4 linked regions of the Anolis sagrei genome follow. The protein of the gene in region 3 interacts with the protein of the main gene of each other region in a pairwise test. Links are inferred from orthologs where the notes say so. Each region holds a gene or a part of one and is shown on either strand. Other genes may lie near its edges. The genes, in order: LENG1, PPP1R18, FSD2 and SH2D4A.

Evidence for each region.
Region 1: the proteins of FSD2 (region 3) and LENG1 interact in binary tests that used the Homo sapiens proteins (3 or more experiments, as listed by UniProt). The two-hybrid records come from large-scale screens. The link is inferred for Anolis sagrei from reciprocal best matches to the Homo sapiens genes FSD2 and LENG1.
Region 2: the proteins of FSD2 (region 3) and PPP1R18 interact in binary tests that used the Homo sapiens proteins (3 or more experiments, as listed by UniProt). The two-hybrid records come from large-scale screens. The link is inferred for Anolis sagrei from reciprocal best matches to the Homo sapiens genes FSD2 and PPP1R18.
Region 4: the proteins of FSD2 (region 3) and SH2D4A interact in binary tests that used the Homo sapiens proteins (3 or more experiments, as listed by UniProt). The two-hybrid records come from large-scale screens. The link is inferred for Anolis sagrei from reciprocal best matches to the Homo sapiens genes FSD2 and SH2D4A.

The regions. Positions count from the first base shown.
Region 1 is NC_090026.1:19,022,572-19,029,696, reverse strand, and holds the start of LENG1 (leukocyte receptor cluster member 1), read left to right. Parts: upstream 1-4,122; 5' UTR 4,123-4,223; coding exon 4,224-4,355; intron 4,356-7,125. Other genes in the region: voltage-gated chloride channel TMC4, read left to right, coding at 249-327, 559-612.
Region 2 is NC_090022.1:23,666,500-23,674,454, forward strand, and holds the start of PPP1R18 (phostensin), read left to right. Parts: upstream 1-4,944; 5' UTR 4,945-5,056; intron 5,057-5,818; 5' UTR 5,819-5,872; exon of another isoform or gene 5,873-5,876; intron 5,877-7,955.
Region 3 is NC_090029.1:32,404,450-32,411,453, reverse strand, and holds the start of FSD2 (fibronectin type III and SPRY domain-containing protein 2), read left to right. Parts: upstream 1-3,985; 5' UTR 3,986-4,101; intron 4,102-7,004.
Region 4 is NC_090026.1:55,294,689-55,301,658, forward strand, and holds the start of SH2D4A (SH2 domain-containing protein 4A), read left to right. Parts: upstream 1-3,951; 5' UTR 3,952-4,119; intron 4,120-4,200; exon of another isoform or gene 4,201-4,273; intron 4,274-4,368; 5' UTR 4,369-4,430; coding exon 4,431-4,596; intron 4,597-6,970. UniProt on the Homo sapiens protein: Inhibits estrogen-induced cell proliferation by competing with PLCG for binding to ESR1, blocking the effect of estrogen on PLCG and repressing estrogen-induced proliferation. May play a role in T-cell development and function.

The sequences.
Region 1 (7,125 bases), on a different chromosome or scaffold from region 3:
TTTCCAGACGTTTCTCTGATCCCCAAATTAGGATGGCACTTTATTAGGGCAGCACCCTAATTTAGAGAACAAAGTTTGGAAAAGTTACTGTTTTGGACTACAGTAGCCATGGTTAAGCTGCAGAAGGGTTGTGGTGGAAGGTGTGGTCATTTTCCAAGGACGATAGATGGCTTTGAGCCTTGCAACTGATGAAACAAAGGGCCCTGATCTTACATTTGTCTCCTCTCTTTTGCATCCTTTCCTCCAAGTGTCCTCATGTTCTACCTCAAGGCACTGGCTGACTCCTACAGCTCTTTGGTTAAAGGCCTTAAGGGACAACTCCGTCTGGTAAGTACTCAAAAAGAACATTTTCATAGAGTTAGCATGGGATTGCAATGCCAGGATCAACAGATGCCTTACAAATAATGCAGATGTGCCACACGAAAATTCCCACTATCCCAGACTATTTGCCCAAAGCTGTAATGCAGCACATCTTGAGATGCTAGACTGGGAAAGGACCAAGAGGACGCTGTCATGAATAAGGATACTTTCACATTTCTCTCCTTCTCTTTCATCTAGGAGGGCCAAGACAAACTCTTCCTGGTGAAACAGATCTCTGAGATGAGCCACTGAAGCAGAAGATGATAGAACAACATGCACTTATTTCTTCTGGTAGATGGGTGTTTAATTGTACAGTTCATTTCCTCAATACTCAAAGAGTGTTTTAATATTGGTAGCCAGATTTTGTTGATTTTCATGATTTCCTCCTTTCTGTTGAAATTGTCCACATGCTTGTGGATTTCAATGGCTTCTCTGTGCAGTCCGACATGCTGGTTGTACTCTAAAATCAGGACAGTAAATAATGAACAACACTAAGAAAACAGGGGAATTCCAGACAGGAAACAATCAGGGCTGGCTAACACCTCCCAACAAAGGATTCCCCCCAACATGAAGCAGCCAGTCTTTAAAGCTGCAAGGCCATTCGATGTTAATCAAGGTGGCCAATTGCAACATTCACACTTGCCTCAAGCTGACAAGAGTTCTTTCTTCCACCCTGGACATTCCACAGATATATAAACCCCACTTGCCTTGCTTCCAACAAACCTCACAACTTCTGAGGATGCCTGCCATAGCTGTGGATGAAACGTCAGGAGAGAATGCTTCTGAAACATGGCCATAAAGCCCAGAAAACTCACAGCAACCCAGTATTGGAAGAGACCATATGGGCCATCTTGTCCAACACCCAGCCATGCAGGAAAAGCACAATCAAAGTAACCCTGACAGATTTGCACTACCATATAGTACTGTTTGAAACTGTATTATATAGGTCAGTGTCGACTTATATAATGCAAATCAAACTTCATTATATGAGTCTACACTGACCATATAATGCTGTTCAAACTGCATTCAGTGGTCAGTATAAAAGGGGTCTTGTCTCTTATGCAGGTCTACCAAAACAGATTTCTGGCTGCATTTCTACCACCATAATTGATTTTAAAATGATATTGTTGAAGGCTTTCACGGCTGGAATTACTGGGTTGCTGTGAGTTTTCAGAGCTGTATGGCCATGTTCCAGAAGCATTCTCTCCTGATGTTTTGCCCACATCTATGGCAGGCGTCCTCAGGGGTTATGAGGTCTGTTGGAAACTAGGCAAGTGGAGTTTACCTATCTGTGGAAGGTCCAGGGTGGGAGAAAGTACTCTTGTCTGCTTATTTTGTATACAGAAGGCAATTACAACATTAGGGGTTGCTGTAAGTTTTCTGGGCTGCATTCTCTCTTGATGTTTCACTCACATCTATGGCAGGCATCCTCAGAGATTGTGAGGCAAACTTGGCCCCTCCAGGGGTTTTGGACCACAAACCTCACAACCTCTGAGGATGCCCATCATAGATGTGGGCAAAATGTCAGGAGAGAATGCTTTTGGAACATGGCCACACAGCCCGGAAAACTCACAGCTACCCAACTTTTAATTTTTTTGATGGACAGAGTACAGGCAGTCCCCAAGTTACTAACATCTGACTCATAGTTAAGAATGGGGGTGAAACAACAGGAAGGGGGAATAATCTACCCCATAAAAGGAAAGTTTATTCCTGAAAGAGTGATCACGGGGAAAAGAGGACTCCAATGAAGTTTTATCACCAATCCTTGTTTCCATAAAAAGCCAATTTTTTCAAAATCCAATTACTACCGTGACAGAAAGTGAGGTGAAATATTCTGAACAGGGGCACAGACAACAAAACAAACCCCACAAGGGCGTCAACTCTTCTCTATGCTATCCAAGGCTGGAGTTAAATTTTAAAAATGTATCTCTTCCAACTTACAACTAAATTCAACTTAAGCACAAACTTACAGGGTTTATCTTGTTTGTAACTTTGATTAATTGTATAGCCCATATACCAAAATAGGACAAATCTGGATACACTTCCCATACAAGAATTTAAACTATAATATTCCACTTTGTACATTGCTCTTCCAAATCTTGGCCCTAAATGTATGATGCATTATTAGAATGAATAAATAAATAAACAGAAAATGAAGCATTCATGTTCTAAATCACAATGCAGAATTTGAACACTGAGATATAAGATGTGAAAATTTCAAATTTTTAAGGTAATTATGGCTCCTTCCACACAGTTGTATAAAACCCACATTGAACTGGATTATCTTACAGTGTGGACTCAGATATTCCATTCAATGCAGATATTGTGGAATTTTTTTGGGGGGTGTCAGGAGCGACTTGAGAAACTGCAAGTCGCTTTTGGTGTGAGCTAATTGGCCTTCTACAAAGACGTTGCCCAGGGGAAGAAACTGAAATCGCGGTTTTGGGACCAGGCTTTTGGACAGCAGACTTAATTAGCACTTTGGTTGGAAATTGACTGGAATGGCATGACAGCTGATGATACTGTTTATTGTTTTAATCAATGCTTTATGTACTGTTTTAATTAATGCTTTATATATATTTAATGGTTGTATTATTGTAATTGTTTGTTTGTAGTGGCATCAAATCGCTGCCAAATTTAAGCCATGCTGAGTCCCCCTTCAGGGATAGAGAATCATAGAATCATAGAATCAAAGAATTGGAAGAGACCTCCTGGGCCATCCAGTCCAACCCCATTCTGCCAAGAAGCAGGAATATTGCATTCAAATAACCCCTGACAGATGGCCATCCAGCCTCTGTTTAAAAGCTTCCAAAGAAGGAGCCTCCACCACACTCTGGGGCAGAGAGTTCCACTGCTGAACAGCTCTCACAGTCAGGAAGTTCTTCCTCATGTTCAGATGGAATCTCTTCTCTTGTAGTTTGAAGCCATTGTTCCGCGTCCTAGTCTCCAGGGAAGCAGAAAACAAGCTTGCTCCCTCCTCCCTGTGGCTTCTTCTCACATATTTATACATGGCTATCATATCCCCTCTCAGCCTTCTCTTCTTCAGGCTAAACATGCCCAGCTCCTTAAACCGCTCCTCATAGGGCTTGTTCTCCAGACCTTTTATCATTTTAGTCGCTCTCCTCTGGACACATTCAAGCTTGTCAATATCTCTCTTGAATTGTGGTGCCCAGAGTTGGACACAATATTCCAGGTGTGGTCTAACCAAAGCAGAATAGAGGGGTAGCATTACTTCCCTAGATCTAGACACTATGCTCCTATTGATGCAGGCCAAGAGACGGGGTAGAAATATCGGAAGCAAAATAATAAATAAATAAATAAATAATGTCCCTGCATTGGAAGCTGGAGCTGACAGACAGGAGCTCACCACACTCCCCGGATTTGAATGGTCGACCTTTTGGTCAGCAGTCCTGCCGGCAAAAGGGTTTAACCCATTGTGTCACTGGGGGCTCCTCATATTGTGGATTATCTGCCTTGATATTCTGGGTTATATAGCTGTGTGAAAGAGACATACATTGTGAGATCTGGGGCCCTTCCACACAGCCCTATATCCCAGAATATCAAAGCAGAAAATCCCACAATATCTGCTTTGAACTGGGTTATCTAAATCCACACTCAATGTGGGATTGATATTCTGGGATATAGGGCTGTGTGGAAAGTTCCCTGGAAAAAAATTAAAAAAAAGAAATTTGGAAAACAATACTCAGGCCGTCCAGAAGGGGCGCCAGAGATACACACAAAGTAGGCCACGCCCCTGAGAAGGATCCCACCAATCAGAAAAGAGATACAGATCCCGGAAGTGTGAGGCAGCAGCGAGAGGGAGCCTCAGCGTTCCGAAGGACGGCGTAGGGAAAACAGCGAGGATGAATATCCTCCCGAAAAAGTCATGGCACGTACGGAACAAGGACAACGTGGCCCGCGTGAGGCGGGACGAAGCGGAGGCCGAGGAGCAGCGGAGGAAGAAAGAGGCCCGAGTCCTGCTCGCGGAACAGGAGGTAAGTTGCTTCTACGGCGCATGCGCAAAAGGGACAACGGTTGTGCTCGGGGCAGCGCCGCGCATGCGCTGTTTTCCTATAACTCATGACATTAAAAAATAGCATTTTATTGCGCATGCGTCCCCGAGCTAGTTCGAATGGGCGGGGTTTGGAAGAGAATGAATGAAGGGAGAGGCATGAGCAAAGTTGGGCCTTCCTCCAGGTGTTTTGGACTCCAACTCCCGCTATTCCTAACAGCCTCAGGCCCCTTCCTTTTCCCCCTCAGCTGAGGGGGAAAAGGAAAGGGCCTGAGGCTGTTAGGAATGTGATGCTTTGCACACAATCAAAGCATCTCCAACAGATGGCCATCCAGTCTCTGCTTAAAAACCTCCACAGAGAAGGAGACTCCCATTTCAGTCTGTGGGACATTTCGATGGAGGTTTTACCATCTAATATACTACAGTAGAGTCTCACTTATCCAACATTAATGGGCTGGTATAATGTTGGATAAGGAGAGATTAAGGAAAAGCCTGCTAAACATCAAAAAAACCAAGATTATGGCAACAAGAATGGTTGACAACTGGAAAATAGAGGGAGAAAATGTGGAGGCCGTGACAGACTTTGTATTTCTAGGTGCAAAGATGACTGCAGATGCAAACTGTGGCCAGGAAATCAGAAGACGCTTACTTCTTGGGAGGAGAGCAATGACCAATCTCGATAAAATAGTGAAGAGTAGAGACATCACACTGGCAACAAAGATCGGCCTAGTCAAAGCCATGGTATTCCCTGTAGTAACCTATGGATGTGAGAGCTGGACCTTAGGGAAGGCTGAGCGAAGGAAGATAGATGCTTTTGAGCTGTGGTGTTGGAGGAAAGTGCTGAGAGTGCCTTGGACTGCGAGAAGATCCAACCAGTCCATCCTCCAGGAAATAAAGCCCAACTGCTCATTGGAGGGAAGGATACTAGAGACGAAGTTGAAGTACTTTGGCCACATCATGAGGAGACAGCAAAGCCTAGAGAAGACAATTATGCTGGGGAAAGTGGAAGGTAAAAGGAAGAGGGGCCGACCAAGGGCAAGATGGATGGATGGCATCCTTGAAGTGACTGGACTGACCTTGAAGGAGCTGGGGGTGGTGACGGCCGACAGGCAGCTCTGGCGTGGGCTGGTCCATGAGGTCACGAAGAGTCGGAGACGACTGAACGAATCAACAACAACAAGGAAAAGCCTATTAGGATTTTACAAATTAAGCACCAAAACATGATGTTTTACAACAAATGGACAGAAATAGCTGTTCAAAACACAGCAACGTTATGTAATAATTACTGTATTTATGAATTTAGCACCAAAACAGACAAGGGCGCTTTCTTTCTCCCACCCTGGACATTACTGTCCGAACATATCTCCTGGTACAAACCATCACGAACCTTAAGATCATCTGGAGAGGCCCTGCTCTCGACCCTACCGACACTGCAAACGCGATCGGTGGGAACAAGGGACAGGACCTTCTCATCAGTGCCCCCCCCCCCCCCCCCGTCTATGGAACGCTCTCCCCAGTAACATCATAGAATCATAGAGTTGGAAGAGGTCTCATGGGCCATCCAGTCCAACCCCCTGCCAAGAAGCAGGAATATTGCATTCAAAGCACCCCTGACAGATGGCCATCCAGCCTCTGTTTAAAAGCTTCCAAAGAAGGAGCCTCCACCACACTCTGGGGTAGAGAATTCCACAGCTGAATAATAATAATAATAATAATAATGATAATAATAATAATAATAATAATAATAATAAAATGAACCTTTATTTATACCCCACTAACATCTCCCGAAGGAGTCGGTGCGGCTTATAGGAGGCCGAGGCCCAACACATCAATAAAACAACAGCATAACAAATACAACAATAAATAAACTCATAAAGCAAGCAGTAAACATTAAAACAATAGCAATAAATATTAGACAATAACACCATGACACATTTAAAACTAAGGCCAGGCCAAATGTAATGATTAAAATTTTAAACAGATCTCACAGTCAGGAAGTTCTTCCTAATGTTCAGATGGAATCTCCTTTCTTGTAGTTTGAAGCCATTGTTCTGCGTCCTAGTCTCCAAGGAAGCAGAGAACAAGTTTGCTCCCTCCTCCCTGTGACTTCCTCTCACATATTTATACATGGCTATCATATCTCCTCTCAGCCTTCTCTTCTTCAGGCTAAACATGCCCAGCTCTTTAAACCGCTCCTCATAGGGCTCATCATAGGACATCAGAATGGCCACCTCCCTCCTGTCTTTTAGAAGAAAAATCAAGACCTGACTTTGGGACCAAGCATTCAATTAGAGAGCAAAAAGTAAAAGAAGATTTTAACACCCAGACTGGATTTTAGACTCTGATTTTAATAGGTGTGTGTTAATCAATTGTTTTAATTATTGTTTTAATATTTTAATGTGTTGTTGTTTTATTATGATGACACCGTATGGTGTTTGTGAGGTTGCCCTGAGTCCCCCCCTCAGGGGTTAGAAGGGCCGGGTATAAATATAGGAAATAAATAAATATTGCACAGGTAAATATACACTCCACTTCCCTCACCTGTGGATCCGAGCAGGAGGCAGACAGCGTTGGATAATACAGAATGTTGGATAAGCGAAGGTTGGATAAGCGAGATTCTACTGTATTTGAAGGACAACTGACCATGGCTGGCAGAAAAATAACAAGTTTGTCCCAGACTTCTGTGTCAGAAACAAGCCTGTGATGCTGGAAGCGAGCCTAGGGAGACCACCTAGCATTTCATCAGGGACTGC
Region 2 (7,955 bases), on a different chromosome or scaffold from region 3:
TTGTTAAAATTGTTCTTCATTTTAATTATTGCATTGTTTTAAGTGGTTTTTGCACTACAAATAAGACATGTGCAGTGTGCTTAGGAATTCATTCATGTTTTTTTTCAAATTATAATACGGCCTTCCAACAGTTTGAGGGACTGTGACCTGGCCCTCTGTTTAAAAAGTTTGAGGAACCCCTGAAGTAAACATTATACACTCTCCTTATATATGCACACAGAGGTGGCCCTAGGTAATTTTCAATGGTAAGCAAACAGTATTTTGGCACCCCCCCCCCCCCCCCAATCAATCATTGATATATATTTTCTGTTCGTTGTGGGAGATCTGTGTGCCATATTTAGTTCAATTCCATCATTGGTGGAGTTCAGAATGCTCTTTGTAAGTGAACTATACATCCCAGTAACTACAACTTGCATATGTCAAGGTCTATTTTCCCCCAAGAGCGCCTCAAGAGCGCCCCTGGGCAAAATCAACTATACTGCAAATGCTTACTTTGTGTAATGTGTTGAGCCGCCCATGTATGTACAGTATGACAATATAGGAGCATATTATGTGCCTGTGTATACGTATATATAAATACATGTATAGGAGAGATACGACACATGCAGAGGCGGCCCTAGGTAATTTTCAACGGTAAGCAAACAGTATTTTGGCACACACACCCCCAACCAATCATTGATATATATTTTCTGTTTGTCGCGGGAGTTCTGTGTGCCATATTTGGTTCAATTCCATCATTGGTGGAGTTCAGAATGCTCTTTGATTGTAGGTGAACTATACATCCCAGTAACTACACTTGCTGCACTTGCCCCCTTGCCTGGCCCACTTTGGGTCCGGAGGCGTGCCTGAAGAGCCTGGCATGTGCACCAAAAGTCACCTCTTCTCCTGACTTTCTCCTCAGCCATTGGGACCAAGAGAGAGAGAGAGACAGAGACAGAGGTGGAGATGCCACCTTTCCTGAAGGTAGGCTCAAAAACAAAGGAGGGAGCGGAGGTGGAAGATACCTCCATCCAAAGGAGCTCGAGCTCTCTCTCTCTCTCTCTCTCTCTCTCTCTTAGTCCCAATGGCTGAAGAGAAAGTCAGGAGAAGAGGCGACTTTTGATGCGCACGCTGGGGTCTTCAGACAAGCCTCCGGACCTGAAAAGGCCAGGTGCGGCGGCTCCGCCCCTTGGCCCACCCGCAGATTGGGGAGAGGAGAGGAGGCAGGTGGAGCGCCAGGGGATCGGGAAAGGGAGCCGGTCATGGGGAAGGGATTGAACGCGGAGAACGATTGAGCGCCGGCTCTGCTTGCACACCCGGTGGCCAGGTGGAGCAGGAATGAGAGGGGCAAGGTGAGGCTTAAGGGCCCGGCCCCTTTGGGAAGAGGATTGCCCGGCAGCGAGGCAAGAAAGCCGAGGCTCCCCCTGGACTGCTAGGGCTGTTGTGAGCTGAGGGGGTGCTACTCAAATGGCGGTCGAGGGGCATTTACAGAGACGCCTCTGTGCCCCTGGCAAAAAAAAAGTGTTCTGCGACCGCTTACTTCACGTAATGGACGAGCCGCCCCTGGACACATGCACACATACATCTATGGGTGTGACACGTACTCAAGAGACACACACATACACACACATAGTATATAAATATATGCATAGGAGAGACATATAATTAAATAAACATTATACACTCTCCTCCTATATGTATGGCAATATAGGAGCATATATTATGTGCCTGTGCATGGGTATATATAAATACATGTATAGGAGAGGTATAACACATGCACAGACACATCTATGGGTGTGACAAGTACACAGGAGGAACACACACACATATACACACACAGTATATATGTATCGGAGAGACACACAGGCACAGTAGTGTTGTAATATCAATGGGTGTGACAAGTATAGATGAGGAACTCTCTCTCTCTATATGTATATATATTCACATACATGCACATACACAGAGAGAGGGAGAAACACACACATACATGCACAGTAGTGTTGTGATTTCAATGGGTGTGACAAGTATACATGTGGAACTCTCTCTCTCTCTCTATATATATATATATACACACATACATGCACATACACAGAGAGAGGGAGAAACACACACATACATGCACAGTAGTGTTGTGATTTCAATGGGTGTGACAAGTATACATGAGGAACTCTCTCTTTATATATATATATATATGTACACACATACATGCACATACACAGAGAGAGGGAGAAACACACACATACATGCACAGTAGTGTTGTGATTTCAATGGGTGTGACAAGTATACATGAGGAACTCTCTCTTTATATATATATATGTACACACATACATGCACATACACAGAGAGAGGGAGAAACACACACGTACATGCACAGTAGTGTTGTAATTTCAATGGGTGTGACAAGTATCCATGAGGAACTCTCTCTCTCTCCATATATATACACAGAGAGAGGGAGAAACACACACATACATGCACAGTAGTGTTGTATTTCAATGGGTGTGACAAGTATACACGTGGAACTCTCTCTCTCTCCATATATATACACACATACATGCACATACACAGAGAGAGGGAGAAACACACACATACATGCACAGTAGTGTTGTGATTTCAATGGGTGTGACAAGTATACATGAGGAACTCTCTCTTTATATATATATATGTACACACATACATGCACATACACAGAGAGAGGGAGAAACACACACGTACATGCACAGTAGTGTTGTAATTTCAATGGGTGTGACAAGTATCCATGAGGAACTCTCTCTCTCTCCATATATATACACACATACATGCACATACACAGAGAGAGGGAGAAACACACACATACATGCACAGTAGTGTTGTGATTTCAATGGGTGTGACAAGTATACATGAGGAACTCTCTCTTTATATATATATATGTACACACATACATGCACATACACAGAGAGAGGGAGAAACACACACGTACATGCACAGTAGTGTTGTAATTTCAATGGGTGTGACAAGTATCCATGAGGAACTCTCTCTCTCTCCATATATATACACACATACATGCACATACACAGAGAGAGGGAGAAACACACACATACATGCACAGTAGTGTTGTATTATCAATGGGTGTGACAAGTATACATGAGGAACTCTATATATATTCACATACATGCACATACACAGAGAGAGGGAGAAACACACACATACAGGCACAGTAGTGTTGTGATTTCAAAGGGTGTGACAAGTATACATGTGGAACTCTGTCTCTCTCTCTCTATATATATATACACATACACAGAGAGAGAGAGAGAAATGCACATAGCATGTTCCTCATATACTGCATGAGGCTTGTGTGTGTGTGTGTATCTTTTTGCAGAGCCTGGGGAATGCCAGGAATGCGCCTGTTCCTGGGAGGGATGGACAGGCTCCATTCGGTCCTATGGAAGGCTGTTCCGACGGCAGCCCGCCCTCCCCCCGGAATCTCGGCGGAAGGAACGCGCAGAAATCTCGGCTCCGCGCGCCCTCCCTCCCTCTCTCCCCCTCCCCTCTCCTGCCGATCCGCCCACTCGGCCACCCCCCTCCGCGCCGCTGCCTGCTGCCCGCCAAGCCCCGCCCCCTTTTCATTGTCCTCCCCTCTCCTGTTTATACACAAAGACCCCCGCCTGCCCCGGTCTCCTCCTCCTCCCCCTCCCCTTCCTCCGCTCTTTCTTTCTTTCTCTTCTTTCTCCTTCTTCCCAATCTTTCCTCTCTTCTCTCTCTTCCCCCTTTTTCTCCCTCTCTTTCTTTTGCCTCCCTTTCCTCCCTTTTTCCCCTCCCAGTTTTTCCATCCTGGGTTAAAATAGGATTTGAGCCATGGGGCTGGGAGGTGGAGCTCGGCAGAGGATTTAAAAAAGCGGGTGTGCAAAGGGATTGAGAGAGAGAGAGAGAGAGAATCATTATTTTTCGCCTTCTCTCTCTCTCTATGTTCCTCGTTCTCTCTGAAAGGAGGAGAAAAAACTTCTTGGGAAGCAGCAAAAGGAAGGAGGTGGAGAGAGGAAAGAAAGAGAAGAGAAATCGGAAAGGAGGAGGAGGAGAGGAAGAGGAAGAAAGGAGGAGGAGGAAAGCAAGAGAAGAAGACAGAAAGAGGAGGAAAATAGGAGGAAGGAAGGAAGAGAGGAAGAAGAAAGGGAGGAGGAGAGGAGGAGGAAGGAAGGAGGAGAGGAATAAGGAAGAAAGAGAAGGAGGAGAGCAGAAGAGGAAGACAGAAAGAGGAGGAGAATAAGAGGAAGGAAGGAGGAGAGGAATAAGAAAGAGGAGGAGGAGAATAAGAGAAGGAGAAGAGGAAGACAGAAAGAAGAGGAGAAGAGGAGGGAAGAAAGAGAAGAAAAAGGGGAAAAAGAAGGAGAATAGGAGGGAAGAAGAAGAAGAAAAAGAGGGGGAGGAAGAAAAGAGGAGAATAGGAGGAAGAAAGGAGAAGAATAAGAAAGAGGGAAAGAAAGGAGGAGGAGGGAGGAAGAAGGAGAAGAATAAGAAAGAGGGGAGGTAGAAAGGAGAAGAATAAGAAAGAGGAAGAAAGGAGAAGGAGAATAGGAGGAAGGAAAGAAGAGAAGAATAAGAAAGAGGAGGGAGGGAGGAAGAAGGAGAAGAATAAGAAAGGGGGGGAAAAGGAAGGAGAAGGAGAGTAAGATAAGGAGAAGAGGAAGACAGAAAGAGGAGGAGAAAGGAAGAGGGAGACGAATAAGAAAAAGGAGGAGGAAGAAAGGAAAGGAGGGGAATAAGAGCAGGAGAAGAGGAAGACAGGACGAGGAGAAGAAGAGGAGGGAGGAAGGAAGAGAAGGATAAGAAAGAGGAGGAGGAGGAAAGGAAGAAAAGAGGAAGGAGGAGGGGGCGGAAAGGGACTGACTAACCAAACCCTTCCTCTGGCAAGGCAGCCCTGACTCAGATCCTCCACCCGAATCTCCTCCCTTCTTTCTCTTGCTTTGAGGGACAGAGAGTGGCAGTCAAGAAAAGGAACTTCTCATCCAGCTGGGATCATCTGCACTTCTTCCTCAGAGATGGACCCAGCGGAGGACCCAGCCCACCTTCTGCCCCACATCTCTTGGACCACCTTGGTTTGATAGTGAGTAGGGAATCCTTGTTTTGTTTTGTTTTGTTTTGTTGGCCCCGAGAGATTATATGGGGATTTCCAAGCGGGCTAAGAACCTTAACAAAATCTCCTTCCAAGATCTCCCAAGGGTTCTCATTCTTCGGAGTTGGCCTACTTATGTGTGTGGACAACCCATGCTGATACCGGTTCAGTTCCTCTGATTGTGAGGCGCCAAGACGGAAAGGGATCAGGAGACACAAGGAGGGGAAGAAAGAGCAGGAGAGTCTTGGATAGAGATCCTCTGCCCTCTCTTTCTATGGCTTATCCTTAGTCCTATATTGTTTTCATCCATTGATCAAAGGGATCTTTGATCTTTTATCCCTTCTCAAGATGCTGGGATTCGGTCGTTACTGGAATATATCTTCCTTGTTTTTATTTTTCCCAAAATGAATTAGAAAATCATAGAATCCGAGAGTTGGAAGAGACCTCGTGGGCCAACCAGTCCAACCCCCTGCCAAGAAGCAGGAAAATCGCATTCAAATCGCTCTCATCACCTGAATTCTTGGAATTCTCTGGATATAAGGGGTTCTTGTTGTGTGAAAATCCGCTCATCTGGCTGCTTCCATCCCTCGGATGCCTGGATCCGATCTCTGCTGGGATTTGAGCTGATCTTCCCCGCTGCCTTTGTTTCCTCCTCAGGAATCCTCGCTTTTGACCCAGTTAAGAACTTCAAAAGGCAGCGCTGGGTACCAAAGTCAATTTAGCATCCTCACCTGTCACTGTTGGTTTTTGCAGGCGTTTGAACTCCTGGGATTGCTTGAAATTTGGAAACATCGAGATCCTATTACAGTAGGTTTGTATTTTTTTCTCCCCTTATGTATGTCCTTCTTATGGTTCCCATGCTCTTCCTCCCTCCTTGCAAGATTTGTTTACCTTTTCAGTCTTAAAGTGCAGCAGCCTGACATGATAATGTTATTTCAATGTGTTGTCGAAGGCTTTCAGGGCTGGAATCACTGGGTTGCTGTGAGTTTTCCAGGCTGTATGGCCATGTTCCAGAAGCATTCTCTCCTGACGTTTTGCCCACATCCTCAGAGGATGCCTGCCATAGATGCAGGGGTGGCTCAACCCATTACGCAAAGTAAGCATTTGCAGTATAGTTGATTTTGCCCAGGGGCGCTCTTGAGGCGCTCTTGGGGGAAAATAGACCTTGACATATGCGAGTTGTAGTTACTGGGATGTATAGTTCACCTACAATCAAAGAGCATTCTGAACTCTACCAATGATGGAATTGAACCAAATATGGCACACACAACTCCCATGACGAACAGTAAATATATATCAGTGATTGGTGGGGGCGGAGGGGGCAAAATACTGTTTGCTTACTGTTGAAAATTATCTAGGGCCGCCTTTGCATAGATGTGTATGAAACCTCAGGAGAGAATGCTTCTGGAACATGGCCATACAGCCCAGAAAACTCACAGAAACCCAATGTTATTTAAGGTATTTAATAATACTGGACACTATGTTAAATATCATTTTATTTATTTATTTACTAGCCGCCCTCTGACATGCATTGCTGTGGCCTTGTCTGTGTATATGTGTTTTTGTGTGTATATATTTGTGTACATATGTGTGTGTTTGCGTATATGTATGTGGTTTTGCGCATGCGTTGTAATGTATTTTTTTTATTTTTTGGCTTTTTAAGTCCCTTCCAATATGTTTCCCAGTGTTTTTATGAGTGATGGTCACTCACAGATAGGTGCATTGTGTCCAAATTTGGTGTCAATTCACCCAGTGGTTCTTGAGTTATGTTAATCCCACAAACGAACATTACATTTTTATTTATATAAACTAGCCATGCCCTGCCACGCGTTGCTGTGGCCCAGTCTGTGTATATGTCTTTGTGTGTATGTATGTGCATATATATTTGTGTATATGTGTATATATGTGTTTTTGCACTTGCATTGTAATGTATTTTTTTCTTCTGCTGTGTTTTTCAGGGTTTTTATGAGTGATGTTCACTTGTTGGTCAGATAGGTGCATTGTGTCCAAATTTGGTGTCAGTTCATCAAGTGGATTTTGAGTTATATTAATCCCACAAACAAGCATTACATGTTTATTTATATAGATTATTTATTATTATTTTAAAATAGTAGTGTCATGTTTATATTTTTCATAAATACATATTAATCACCACTACTCAGTGGCTGGGCGCATAAGGTTCTATGTAACCTCTTAAAGCCAAATCCACTTGCCATTCTAAATTCAGATTAAAGGAACTTCTCTTCCCTGGAAGATATAGATATGACATGTATATGGGAAGGATGGAATTAAAGCATTGCCCCCCCCCCCCCCCCCAGGATGCTGCCTTGAAATATTCCTTTTGTCCCCAAATTTATAGTATCGCTAAAACTGGAAATTTCAGGTGAATATTTAGAAATACAATGTAGGCATCCAAAGACAAGGGGCTGGCAAGGTGACCAATGGAATGCAAATTCAAGAGTTCTAGGCATGACAAATTGTCAATACTATGCAATGCAAGAAATTTATTGACAGACAGGAAATATTATGGGAAACATAATTTTAGTGTATTTTTATTTATTTATTTATTTATACACAAATACACACACAACACATATACACAGACTAGGCCACAGCAATGCATGGTAGGGGACGGCTAGTATATAGTAAAACAATCATTAAAAACGTATAAAACCTTGAAACCACTTATTTAAAATCACGCAATCCAATATCATAGTCTGTGGCTGTTCCAATTTGTCATTGCAGTATTCCATAATTTTCTTATTACACTGAATGCCTGGTCTGATATCCATGTCTTTAGCCTTTAGGGAACAATACACTTTAATTCCCCCCCCCTTTTTTTTTTGGTCGTGTTCTGAGTGACTTGAGAAACTGCAAGTCGTTTCTGGTG
Region 3 (7,004 bases):
CAAGATTACTAAGATCATCTGGAGAGGCCCTGCTCTCGGTCCCACCGGCCTCACAAGTGCGGCTGGTGGGGATGAGGGACAGGGCCTTCTCGGTGGTGGCCCCGCGACTCTGGAACTCTCTCCCTCTGGAGGCCAGAACTGCCCCATCCATCCTAACATTTAGGAAACGGGTGAAGACATGGCTGTGGAGTGAGGCCTTCGATGAATGAGACAACACCAAAGGACCCTGGATGGAAGCTGATGTAGATCCATCTTAATAGGACGACTGACCACTGTAGTTTTATATATAGTGTTTTTAAAGTTGTTTTTGTAATTGTGATATATGATATTTTAATGAGTGTATATGTTTTTTATGGCTGGAAACCGGGCTGAGTCCCTCAATGAGGTTGAGAAGCTCGGTATAGAAAACTGTGAAATAAATAAATAAATAAAAGGCATGAGCAAACTTGGGCCCTCCAGGTGTTTTGGACTCCCACAATTCCTAACAGCCTCGGGCCCCTTCAAGGACTGTGGCTCCTGCAGCAGCTCCAACAGCAAGGACCTATGTCTTCCCTTTTCCTCACTGAACTGAACTCCCCTGTTTCAATGTAACAACCCCTAATAAAGAAGTATCCTTTTTACTCACTTTTCCTCTTCATAGTGATACATCGTGTCCTTTTACTATCTCAAACATTAACAAGCATAAACTAGGCTTGGGTAACAACAGAAAAAATTTGTTTCTAAACTCACTTCGTTTTTAGGGGTCCATCGCGTTTCGTTTTTTTAAAGAATTCCGAAATTTTGCTTTTAAAAATTTCAAAATTTACGAAATTTCGTAAAATTCCGAATCGATTCGTTAATGGTGGACGCGATTGCGCAATACGCTAAAAAAACCCTCCAAATGGGACAGAGGGAACTTCTGAAGCTTCCCTCTCCCTCTGTTGTTGACAGTTGGTGTGATAAAACAAACAACAACTATAAAACTTGCACCAGACATGCGAAAATAATTACGAAATAATTTTGAAATAATTACGAAATAATTACGAAATAAATTGAAAAAATTGTTTCGAATCTAATTTACTCCTCACACTATTCCTGCATGGCTCAATATTGGATCGTAAGCTAATTTAAATACAAATTAATAACAAATTACGAAATTAATGAATGAAACCGCCCAAGCCTAGCATAAAACTTTCCTTTCCTGAGCCGCATATCCCTGCTGACTCGCCTGGGATGCTCTTACAGCGTCCCAGGGAGGCCAAAACTGTGTTCCTCTGAACCGCAGATACGGAAACCCATTGGGCCCCCATATCTGCGGGTCAACGGATCGGCTCTAAACCAGTGCCATCTTTTTGCTAGACTAATTCTAAGACTAACTGCTATCTTACTGATGATCAGTTGAAACATTTACACCTGGCTCCAGCAGACAAGAGTCCTTTGTCCCACCCTTGTCATTCCACAGATATATAAACCCTTTTTCCTAGTTCCAACAGACCTCACTACCTCTGAGGATGCTTGCCATAGATGCAGGTGAAACGTCAGGAGAAAATGCCTTTAGAACATGCCATATAGCCCAAAAAACCCTACAACAACCCACTGCTATCTTACTTTTAGCATAACAGACCTCTGTACCCCAGGAAAACCAATTTTGTCCCAAAAACCTCATGTTGGGTCCAGCTGGCTCCAATCCATGGCTCCACACTGCAACAATGTTCTGCTTCCATTTTATGTGCGTCCAGAAGCCTGTTGACCCCAGGAGAGTCCCTTGAGGTCACCCCTTGGGACCCCCAGATCTCTGGCAGGCCGCTCTGCCCTTCTATGAATTGGATCTGTAATTTTTTCTTCCTTTCCAATGAGTGCATTCCAACCTCTAGTGCTCCCAGGACTGTCACCAATTTCCCATGAACTTTCATAAACTTTTCTCCAACTCCCATGAACTTTCGAAGGACTTTTATGAACTTTTGCCAACTTTCACCAATTTTTGGGAACTTTGAGTACTTTTATCAACTTTTGAGGACTCTTTGGAACTCCCATGAACTCTTTGCCAAACCCCTATGGACTTTTAATAACCTTCTCAAACTTTTATGAATGTTGATGGACTTTGGGGGGGGGGGGGGAAAGACAGCTGACATGATTTGCCCTTAGACCAGTGGTTCTCAACCTGGGGGTCAGGACCCCTGAGGGGGTCACCAGGGGCTGTGAGAGGGGTCACCAAAGACCATCAGGAAACACAGTATTTTATGTTGGTCATGGGGGTTCTGTATAGGAAGTTTGGCCCAATTCGATTGTTGGTGGGATTCAGAATACTCTTTGATTGTAGGTTAATTATTAATCCCAGCAACTACAACTCCCAAATGTCAAGGTCTATTTCCCCCAAAATCCACCAGTGTTCACATTTGGGCATATTGAGTGTTTGTGCCAAGTTTGGTCCAGATCCACCATTGGTCAATGCCCACCAAACCCTTCCAGTGTTTTCTGTTAGTCATGGGAGTTCTGTGTGCCAAGTTTGGTTCAATTCCGTCATTGGTGGAGTTCAGATTGTAGGTGAGCTATAAATCCCACCAACTCCAACTCCCAAGTAACAAAATCAATCAATCCTCCCTCCTCCCAATTCCACCACTATTCTAATTTGGGCATGTTGGATATTTGTGCTAAATTTGATCCAGTGAAAATACATCCTGCTTATCAGATAATTGCAGTACCATTCATAACAGGAGCAAAATTACAGTTATGAAGTAGCAAAATAATGTTATGGTTGGACTGTATTAAGGAGTCGCAGAATTAGGACGGTTGAGAAACACTGCCTTAGACCCTACATGATTTCCCCTTATGAATTCCTTTCATATTCCCCAACCTATTGCTCATTCCTCATGTGTATGTATGTCTATATTTTGAAAAATGTAGGAAAAAGCCACCGTTTTCATGAAACCAGCACCTCATGGCTCCAGGAAGCTTTCCCAATTTCCTGGGCCAGTAAATCCGTAAACAAAGGACTCAACCAAGACTCACTGCATGGACAATAAATAAATGGTTCTTATCAAGCAAAAAGTGAGCGCTAGAAACAACATCATACGAAAGTTGACTGGCACAACCTGGGGATCACAACCAGACACAGTGAAGACATCTGCCCTTGCGCTATGCTACTCTGCTGCTGAGTATGCATGCCCAGTGTGGAACACATCTCACCACACTAAAACAGTGGATGTGGCTCTTAATGAGACATGCTGCATTATCACGGGGTTTCTGCGCCCTACACCACTGGAGAAATTACACTGTCTAGCCGGTATTGCACCAGCCGATAGCGAAAGGACCAAGGCAGAGACATCTCCAGCTCATCCCTTGTTTGGGTATCAGCCAGCACGTCAACGACTTAAATCAAGATATAGTTTTCTTAGATCTACAGAGACACTCGCCGGAGTGGAGTCCACGACATGCGAGTGTGGAGAAGAGCAAACCACTAACCACCTGCTGCAATGCAACCTGAGCCCCGCCACATGCACGATGGAGGACCTTCTTGCGGCAACACCAGAGGCACTCCAAGTGGCCAGATACTGGTCAAAGGACATTTAATCAACTACCAAGTTGGCAAAATCTGTATTTTGGTTTTTTTGTGGTTTTTTTAATCTGTTTGTTTGTTTTGTTCTGTTAGATATGTAATACAATGGTATGGTTGCTGATGACATGATAAATAAAATCAGACGAGACTTCGGAAGGCAAAGAGCCAGGCCATCTGGGATGTTAGGACTTATGGACATTTAAATCACTCAACACAAAGGGTATCTTCCTATCTGTTTATTGGGCTTCAACTCCCATAATTCTTAACAGCCTACTGACTGTTAGTGATTATGGGAGTTGAAGTCACAAACACCTGAAGGGCCGAAGTTTGCCCATGACTGTTTTAACCCCAACTTTTCTCCAGAGTTGTTTGGGTCTGACATTCTCCTCCCTGACACACAAGAAGTCATCTGCTGAAGGACAGCTGGTGCCAGGCTATATTTGTTCTTCTTGCTCATCGCATGCATGCTACGCTTAGGATAAGCAGCCGTCTAGAGTTACAGCAGTGAGGCTTCGGTTTCAGAAGTCGAAAGCTAGCAGGGAATGGCTGCCGAATGAAAAATTCAGGTTTGTTAGGAAAAATAGGAGGTTTTGTTATTGTTGGGATAGAAGTAGAATGATCAATCATTGATACTTAAATAGAAAGTTTTTGAACAGCAATATTATCAGTCTTTTAATTTATTCTAGAATGCAGTATCTCTCCACTACTTTGCATCAATGTTTGGAAAGCTGGGTAAACAAAATTTAATTTCAACTGTTTTTACACATTCTTCCTTAAGGTGTAAATGCCCAGTGATTTCTTTCTCAATGAACTGCAGCTCGAAAGAAGGGAATAAGTAAATATGAAAGCACTTCCTTGCGTAAATGGTCAATAAATAGAATGTGCATGTTCTGAAATGTGGTGTTGTCGCTTTATGTTCACAATGCTATTTAATGGTTCTTTTGAGTTTTTTTTTTTTTAAAAGCTGGTTTAACTGGAAGGCCATCTTGTGGACTTCTAAAATGAAGGTTCCTAGGGCTACAATTTTCAAACCTTGGTCATTGCTTCACGTGTGATTGCAGCTCTATTTCTAGCTCCAAGTTTACCCCTGTCTGCTTGCAGGGGCAGCTCAACCCATTACGCGAAGTAAGCATTTGCAGTATAGTTGATTTTGTCCAGGGGCGCTCTTGAGGTGCTCTTTGGGGAAAATAGACCGTACATATGCGAGTTGTAGTTACTGGGATGTATAGTTCACCTATAATCAAAGAGCATTCTGAACTCCACCAATGATGGAACTGAACCAAATATGGCACACAGAACTCCCACAACGAACAGAATATATATATCAGTGATTAGTTGGGGGGGGGGGGGAATACTGTTTGCTTACCGTTGAAAATTACCTGGAGCCGCCTCTGGCTGCTTGAGGCTCGTCTTTTGCTTTCTTTACTTCTTGCTGAGCAATAAGATCAGCCCAAAATGCAGTGTATTATATTCTCTCCTTTGCAATGGTGAGTTTGGAACAGTAAGTATAATGATAGGCACCTAAAGGAACTCTCCAGAAAGGCCCACTGTTTTATATTCTTTCAATCTGCAACCGTAGGGAGGGTGGGTGGGGGATACTTTTGTACAGTACCATATTCATTGATGGGGATATATCATCATCAGTTTACTAGACACATTTTTTTTGCACAAGTACGACACAAGGGTTTTTTGTTTTGTTTTGTTTTTGTATCAGGAGCAACTTGAGAAACTGCAAGTCACTTCTGGTGTGATAGAATTGGCCATCTACAAGGATGTTGCCCAGGGGACAGCAAGATGTTTGATGTTATTTACCATCTTTGTGGGAGGCTTCTCTCATGTCCCTGCATGAGGAGCTGGAGCTGACAGAGGGAGCCCAACCCGCTCTCCCTGGATTCGAACTGCTGACCTGTCGGTTAGCAGTTCCTGCTGATACAAGGGTTTAACCCATGGCACCACTGGGGGTTCGACACACAAGTTAACATGTTTAAACCCTGGCTTGGGCTGGGAATTGAGAGGGAAGGGTGCTCAGGCTTCAAAACCATCTCACAAACAAACACTGTATGCTGTGAGTTTTCCAGGCTGTATGGCCATGTTCTGGAAGCATTTTCTCCTGACGTTTAGCCCACATATATGGCAAGCATCCTCAGAGGTTGTGAGGTCTGTAGGAAACTAGGCAAGTGGGGTTTCTATATCTATGGAATGTCCAGGATAGGAGAAAGGACTCTTGTCTGTTTGAGGCAAGTGTGAATGTTGCAATTGGCCATCTTGATTAGCATTTAATAGTAGGCATGGGCAATCCATGGTTCTAAATGGTTCTAAAGTACTTACAAAACTCGAGAGCGCTGATGATTTGCTTTTAAAGTGTTTCTAAAGCTGGTGCTGTGCTTCTAAAGTGTTGCTAAAGTTCTAGTGGTGAAAATTTCAGAACTCTAACAAAACTTCCAAAATTTAATTATTATTTCATTATTGGCGATTTTTATGACCGAACCAATTAGGAACTGCCATTTATAACCAAATTTTGAAAGTGTTGTTGGAGTTCTGATATTTTCATCACCAGAACTTTAGCAACACTTTAGAAGCAAAGCACCAGTGCCCCCTAGTTTTGTAAGTACTTTAGGACCATTTGGAACCATGGATTGCCCATGCATATTGAATAACCTTGCAGCTTCAAAGCCTGGCTGGTTGCTGCCTGGGGGAATCTTTTGTTGGGAGGTGTTATCTGGCCCTGATTGTTTCCACTCTGGAATTCTCCTGTTTTCTGAGTGTTGTTCTTTATTCAGCCAGAGAAGTCAGCCATGGCACAGCACCTGATGAACCAGCCTGGACACTGCATATTATTTGAGAACACAGAAATGCTGGACCACTCTCACAACCACTATGTCATACTACACAGAGAAACCATTGAAATCCACAAGTATGTGGACAATTTCAAAAGAAAGGAAGAAACCATGAAAATGAACAAAATCTGGCTACAGGTATTTAAAAATCTATAAAATCAAGATAGTAAAAAAAAAAAGCAAAACTCAGAAAACAAGGGAATTCCAGACAGGAAACAATTAGGGCCAGTTAACACCTCCTAACAAAGGATATCCTCAGGCAGGAAGCAGCCAGGCTTTGAATCTGAGAGGCCATGAAATGCTAATCAAGATGGCCAGTTCCAACATTCACACCTACCTCACACAGACAAGAGTTCTTTCTCCCACCCTGGACATTCCATAGACATATAAACCTCACTTGCTTAGTTTCCAACAGACCTCGCAACCTCTGAGGATGCCTGCCATAGATGTGGATGAAATGTCAGGAGAGAATGCTTCTGGAACATGGCCAGGCAGCCTGGAAAACTCACAGCAACCCAGTGATTCTGGCCATGAAAGCCTTTGACAACAGACACGGTTTGGTCTTTTCTTCCAGTATCGTATGCTGTGATATTGGCTTTCCTATCTGAGATACAGAGAAGCACAGCAGTTCC
Region 4 (6,970 bases), on a different chromosome or scaffold from region 3:
GTTACAGCCTGTGTTGGATGGGGTTACACTCCCTCTGAAGATGCAGGTTCACAGTCTGGGTGTGATCCTGGATTCATCGCTGAGCCTGGAACCCCAAGTTTTGGCAGTGACCAGGGGAGCATTCGCCCAGCTAAATCTTGTGCACTAGCTGTGCCCATACCTTTGGAAGCCTAACTTGGCTCTGGTTACATCTCGTATAGACTACTGTAATGCACTCTACGTGGGGTTGCCTTTGAAGACTGTCCAGAAGCTTCAAATAGTCCAATGGATGGCAGCCAGAATGCTAACAGGAGCGGCCCTCAGGGAGCATACAACTCCTATGCTGCACCAGCTCCACTGGCTGCCAGTCTGCTACTAGGCACAATTCAAAGTGCTGGCTTTAGTCTATAAAGCCCTAAATGGTTCTGGCCTGACTTACTTGTCTGAATGCATCTCCCCTTATGAACCATCTGGGCCTTAGATTCTAGGACTTTGAGATCGTCTGGGGAGGCCCTGCTCTCAATCCCGGCTTCATCACAAGTATGTTTGGCGGGGACGAGAGACAGGGCCTTCTCTGTGGTGGCCCCTCGGCTATGGAACACCCTCCCTAAGGAGATTAGATTGGCTCCCTCACTCTTAACATTTCGGAGACAAGTTAAGACATGGTTATATGAGCAAGCGTTTACAAATGCAGGGTAACTGATATAGGAAATGGAATCACTTGACAACGGATTTTGGACAACGTTTTTAACTAGGAGACACTAATGATCAAGGGTCTGGAGAACAAGCCCTATGAGGAGCGGCTTAAGGAGCTGGGCATGTTTAGCCTGAAGAAGAGATGGCTGAGAGGAGATATGATAGCCATGTATAAATATGTGAGAAGAAGCCACAGGGACGAGCAAGCTTGTTTTCTGCTTCCCTGGAGACTAGGACGCGAAACAACGGCTTCAAACTACACGAAAGGAGATTCCATCTGAACATGAGGAAGAACTTTCTGACTGTGAGAGCCGTTCAGCAGTGGAACTCTCTGCCCTGGAGTGTGGTGGAGGCTCCTTCTTTGGAAGCTTTTAAACAGAGGATGGATGGCCATCTGTCAGGGATGATTTGAATGCAATATTCCTGCTTCCTGGCAAGGGGTTGGACTGGATGGCCCATGAGATCTCTTCCAACTCTTTGATTCTATGATTCTATGGTGTTGGTTTTATTGTTTTTATTGTGATTTCATATTGTTCAATGCTTAATCGGTATTTTGCTATTATGTGTACTGACTTGTTGTAAACTGCTTTGAGTCGCCGATAGGCTGAGAAAGGCGATATACAAGTATAGTTAGTAAATAAATAAGTAATAAACTTTATTTATACCCCGCCACCATCTCGCCAATGGGGACTCAGAGCCGTTTACATGGGGCCAAGCCCGAATGACAAATTACAGCAAAATAAAACCAAAACATAAACAACAAGCAACATCATCAAAATTGCATTAAAAAAAGATATGAGTACAGTAACAAAATAACATTATAATAAACATAATCGCAGTAACAGTGGGTAGGTCACATGTACAGGATAAAATGTTAAAAAACTCTAATGAGATAAAAATAGGAGCAAGTTATTTGCAGGGAGCTCAAAAAGAAACACAGGGTTGTGAAACTAAACTTCCCATTTGGGGGAGGGGGCATGTACTCTAGTGACAGAAGCATTGAGGGGAGCAATAGGGTCATGTTGCACCTACTCACCAAAGGCGCAGCGGAAGAGCCAGGTTTTAAGGTTCTTTTTAAACGTTTCTAGTGTAGGGGCTTTCCTGATCTCTCCAGGTAATGAGTTCCAGAGTCAGGGGGCCACAGAGGAGAAGGCTCTTTCCCTCACTACGGTGAGGTGGATCAGTAATTGGTTAAATGGACAAACCCAGAAGGTGCTCACCAATGTTTCCTCTTCATCCTGGAAAGAAGTGACGAGTGGAGTGCCGCAGGGTTCCGTCCTGGGCCCGGTCCTGTTCAACATCTTTATTAATGACTTAGATGAAGGGCTAGAAGGCAGGTTCATTAAGTTTGCAGATGACACCAAATTGGGAGGGATTGCCAATACTCCAGAGGACAGGAGCAGGATTCAAAACGATCTTGACAGATTAGAGAGATGGGCCAAAACTAACAAAATGAAGTTCAACAGTGACAAATGCAAGATACTCCATTTTGGCAGGAAAAACGAAATGCAAAGATACAGAATGGGGGACGATGCCTGGCTCGAGAGCAGTACGTGTCAAAAAGATCTTGGAGTCCTTGTGGACAACAAGTTAAACATGAGCCAACAATGTGATGTGGGGGCAAAAAAAGCCAATGGGGTTTTGGCCTGCATCAATAGGAGCATAGTGTCTAGATCAGGGGTCCTCAAACTAAGGCCTGGGGGCCGGATACAGCCCTCCAAGGTCATTTACCCGGCCCTCGCTCAGGGTCAACCTAACTCTGAAACGATTTGAAAGCACACAACAACAACAACAACAACAACAACAATCCTATTTCATCAGCCAAAAGCAGACTCACACTTCCCACTGAAATACTATTAAGTTTACATTTGTTAAAATTGTTATTCATTTTAATTATTGTATTGTCTTGTTAAGGGTTTTTTTGCAATACATATAAGATATGTGTAGTGTGCATAGGAATTAATTCATGTTTTTTTTTTTCAAATTATAATCCGGCCCTCCAACAGTTTGAGGGCCCATGACCTGGCCCTCTGTTTAAAAAGTTTGAGGACCCCTGGTCTAGATCTAGGGAAGTAATGCTACCCCTCTATTCCGCTTTGGTTAGACCACACCTGGAATATTGTGTCCAATTCTGGGCACCACAATTCAAGAGAGATATTGACAAGCTGGAATGTGTCCAGAGGAGGGCGACTAAAATGATCAAGGGTCTGGAGAATAAGCCCTATGAAGAGCGGCTTAAGGAGCTGGGCATGTTTAGCCTGAAGAAGAGAAGGCTGAGAGGAGATATGATAGCCATGTATAAATATGTGAGAGTAAGCCACAGGGAGGAGGGAGCAAGCTTGTTTTCTGCTGCCCTGGAGACTAGGACGCGAAACAATGGCTTCAAACTACAAGAGAGGAGATTCCATCTGAACATGAGGAAGAACTTCCTGACTGACAGCCGTTCAGCAGTGGAACTCTCTGTCACGAAGTGTGGTGGAGGCTCCTTCTTTGGAAGCTTTTAAACAGAGGCTGGATGGCCATCTGTCAGGGGTGATTTGAATGCAACATTCCTGCTTCTTGGCAGGGGGTTGGACTGGATAGCCCATGAGGTCTCTTCCAACTCTTTGATTTTATGATTCTATGAAACTAAACTTCCCATGAGGCAGTGACAGAAGTGTTGAGGGGAGCAATAGTGTCATGTTGTCCACCTACTCGCCAAAGGCGCAGCGGAAGAGCCAGGTTTTAAGGTTCTTTTTAAACGTTTCTAGTGTAGGGGCTTTCCTGATCTCTCCAGGTAATGACTTCCCGAGTCGGGGGGCCACAGAGGAGAAGGCTCTTTTCCTTGTGCCCACAAGACGGGCTTGTGAAATTGGCAGGGGCGAAAGGAGGGCCTCCCCGAAGATCGAAATAAATAAACATCAATGCAATGAACCTGTCCGTTTAAAAATGTAAATAGCAGTTGTGTGTGTGCAGAGGGGGAAGCATCAAAGCAGCCTTTACACCACACTATTGATCCGATCAGAACCTCATTCCCACCCAGTTCTGCTATTTTCACCCTTATTCATGCTGGGAACTCTGGTGTGTATTTCCGTTCACGCAGAAGATAAATTATATCTCACTCCTTGACACTGGTGTTTACTGACATTGGCCCTATCACTTTTTCTGTGGGCGTTTGGCACCGGCCAGAACTTTACTTTCTTAAGATTTGTGAGACAGGAAAGGGTTAGGGTTCACCTCTTTACAAGCCATCCCTTCACTTCCTGGTCTCATAACAGAACGGCTTGCTGAGTCAGAGAGGTAAGCCACACCTGTGACTTTAGCAGCCAGTGCTTAAAAGCAGAGGGGACTTCCACGAGGCATCAGATCTGAACACTCCTCTCTGGTCCTCGTTGCGGCTGCTTTATATTCATTACCTTGAACAAACGCCCTGCTTATTCCAGGACACAAGGGCTCGGTTTTGGTGTAAGTGTTGCCAAGTCTTCCTTTTCTTTGTGTTCTTTGAGCTCTTTGTTTACTTTGTCAGTCCTTGCAGGAAATCCAAGAGCTAAAAGTAGGTTGCAGTCGCCGTGAGAGTAATTGCGATGTGGAGAGCCTGCATTCCTGCTGTATCTTAAGGGTGGGGAGAGATTTTTGTCTCCCCTTTGGCCACTGATGTGTTTCTGCTGGAAAGGCGGCAGAGAAAGTGACTTCTTCCTTCTCTTCTCTCCTCAGATCAGCCTTCTCTTCTTCTTGCTCCTACTCCTTCCTCTCTGTGAGAAGCTTCTTCTACAACCATGCTGAAGCAAATCCTGGCCGACATGTATGTGGACCCAGAGCTGCTGGCAGAGCTCAGTGAAGAGCAAAAGCAGATCTTGTTCTTCAAGATGAGGCAGGAGCAGATCCGAAAGTGGAAGGAAAGAGAAGATGTGGCCACTGTGCCGAAACCAGTGCGGAAGGCAGGTCAGTGTGTGAGCCCAGGAGGAAAATGGGATTATCTAGCCTGGCTTCAGAAGGAGTAAAGAAGGCTGAGAGGGGACATGATAGCCGTGTTTTAATATCTGGAAGGATGTCACATTGAGGAAGTTGCATACTCGTTTTCTTTTGTTTTGGGGATTAGGATGCGGATCAACGGATTCAAATTCAAATTGCAGGGGAAAAGATCATAATAATAATCTCTCCGTTCTTGTGGGTTTTTTCGGGCTATATGGCCATGTTCTAGAGCAGTGGTTCTTAACCTTCCTAATGCCGCGACCCCTTAGTACAGGTTCCCACGTTGTGGTGACCCCCAACCATAATGTCATTTTCATTGCTACTTCTTTAATTTTGCTACTGTTGTGAATCGTAATATAAATATCTGATATGCAGGATATATTTTCATTCACTGGACCAAATTTGGCACAAATACCCGAAACGCCCCAATTTGAATACTGGTGGGGTTGGAGGGGATTGATTTTGTCATTTGGGAATGTTGGAATTGCTGGGATTTATAGTTCACCTAAAATCAAAGAGCCTTCTCAACTCCATCAATGATGGAATTGAATCAAATTTGGCACACAGAATTCCCATGGCCAAGAGAAATACTGGGAGAGTCTGGTGGACACTGACCTTGAGTTTTTGGAGTTGTAGTTCACCTATATCCATATCACACTGTGGACTCAAACAGTGATGGATCTGGATCAAACTTGGCACAATATACCCAAATGTGAACACTGGTAGAGTTTGGATAAAATAGACCTTGCCATTTGGGAGTTGTAGCTGCTGGGATTCATAGTTCACCCACAATGAAATAGCATTCTGAACCCCACCAATGATAGAATTGGACCAAACTTCCCATGCAGAACACCCATGACAAAGAGAAAATGTTTCCTGATGGTCTTTGGTGACCCCTCTGACACCCCCTCGCGACCCCCACAGGGGTCCCGACCCCCAGGTTGAGAACCACTGTTTTAGAGGCATTTCTCCTGACGTTTCGCCTGCATCTATGGCAAGCATCCTCAGATAATATAATAATAATAATAATAATAATAATAATAATAATAATAATAAACTATTTAAAAACAGCAATATCAGAGATCAAAAGCCCGTCGAAACAGATATGTCTTCCATGCCCTGCGGAAAGTTGATGTCCCGCAAGGCTCGGACTTCAGGTGGCAGAGTATTCCAGAGTGATGGTGCCACTGCTGTAAAGGCTCTGCGTCTGGTTGCTGTTAGACGCAAGGTCTTGACACGGAATTTCCAATAAATCTTGGTCCTCAGAACGGAGGGATCTCTGGGGTTGGTAGGGGGTGAGGCGGTCCCTCAGGTACATCGGCCCTAGATGTAGGGCCTTAAAGGTGAGTACCATCACTTTGAAAATATAATTCATACACACAGAGATATAGTATTATAATAATAATAATAATAATAATAATAATAATAATAATAACAACAACAACAACAACACTTTATTTGTACCCTGCTACCATCTCCCCAATGGACTCGGTGCGGCTTACATGAGGCCGAGCCCAAACACAACAATACAAGCAATAATAACAACAATACAAGCAATTAAAAAAACATAGACAATAAAATACACAACATTATCAATAAAACAACACATAATTAAAAACAGTGGGAAGGCCAAATGTAGAGTTAAAATTGGAAATAATGCTGGGACATGAACGAAAGGTGATACTGGTGTTTGTGGAAGGGCATACGAGCAGACTTAAAGATATGTAAAGTGCTATGGGATCATTATTCCGGGAAGGCACACTGGAACAGCCACATCTTCAAGCTCCTCCTGAAGACTGCCAGAGTTGGAGCCTGTCTGATGTCTTTAGGGAGTGAGTTGCAGAGTCGAGGGGCCACCACCGAAAAGGCCCTCTCTCTCCTCCTCACCAATCGCGCCTGCGATGCTGGTGGGATCGAGAGCAGGGCCTCTCCGGATGATCAAAGGGATCGTGTGGGTTCGTATACAGAGATGCGGTCACGCAGGTAGGCGGGTCCTAAACCGTTCAGGGCTTTGTAGGTAAGAACCTGCACCTTGAATTGGGTCCAGTAGATGAATGGCAGCCAGTGGAGCTCCTTGATTCCATCTACACTTTAGGAAGAACTTCCTGCCAGTAGTGGAATATACAATAATAATAATAATAATAATAATAATAATAAAACTTTATTTATATACCGCTTCATCTCCTTGAGGGGACTCAGAGTGGTTCCCAGGTAACATCACAAAACATACAAAGTAAAAACAACATAACCATAAGTGGGTTGTTGTAGGTTTTTTCGGGCTATATGGCCATGGTCTAGAGGCATTCTCTCCTGATGTTTCGCCTGCATCTATGGCAAGCATCCT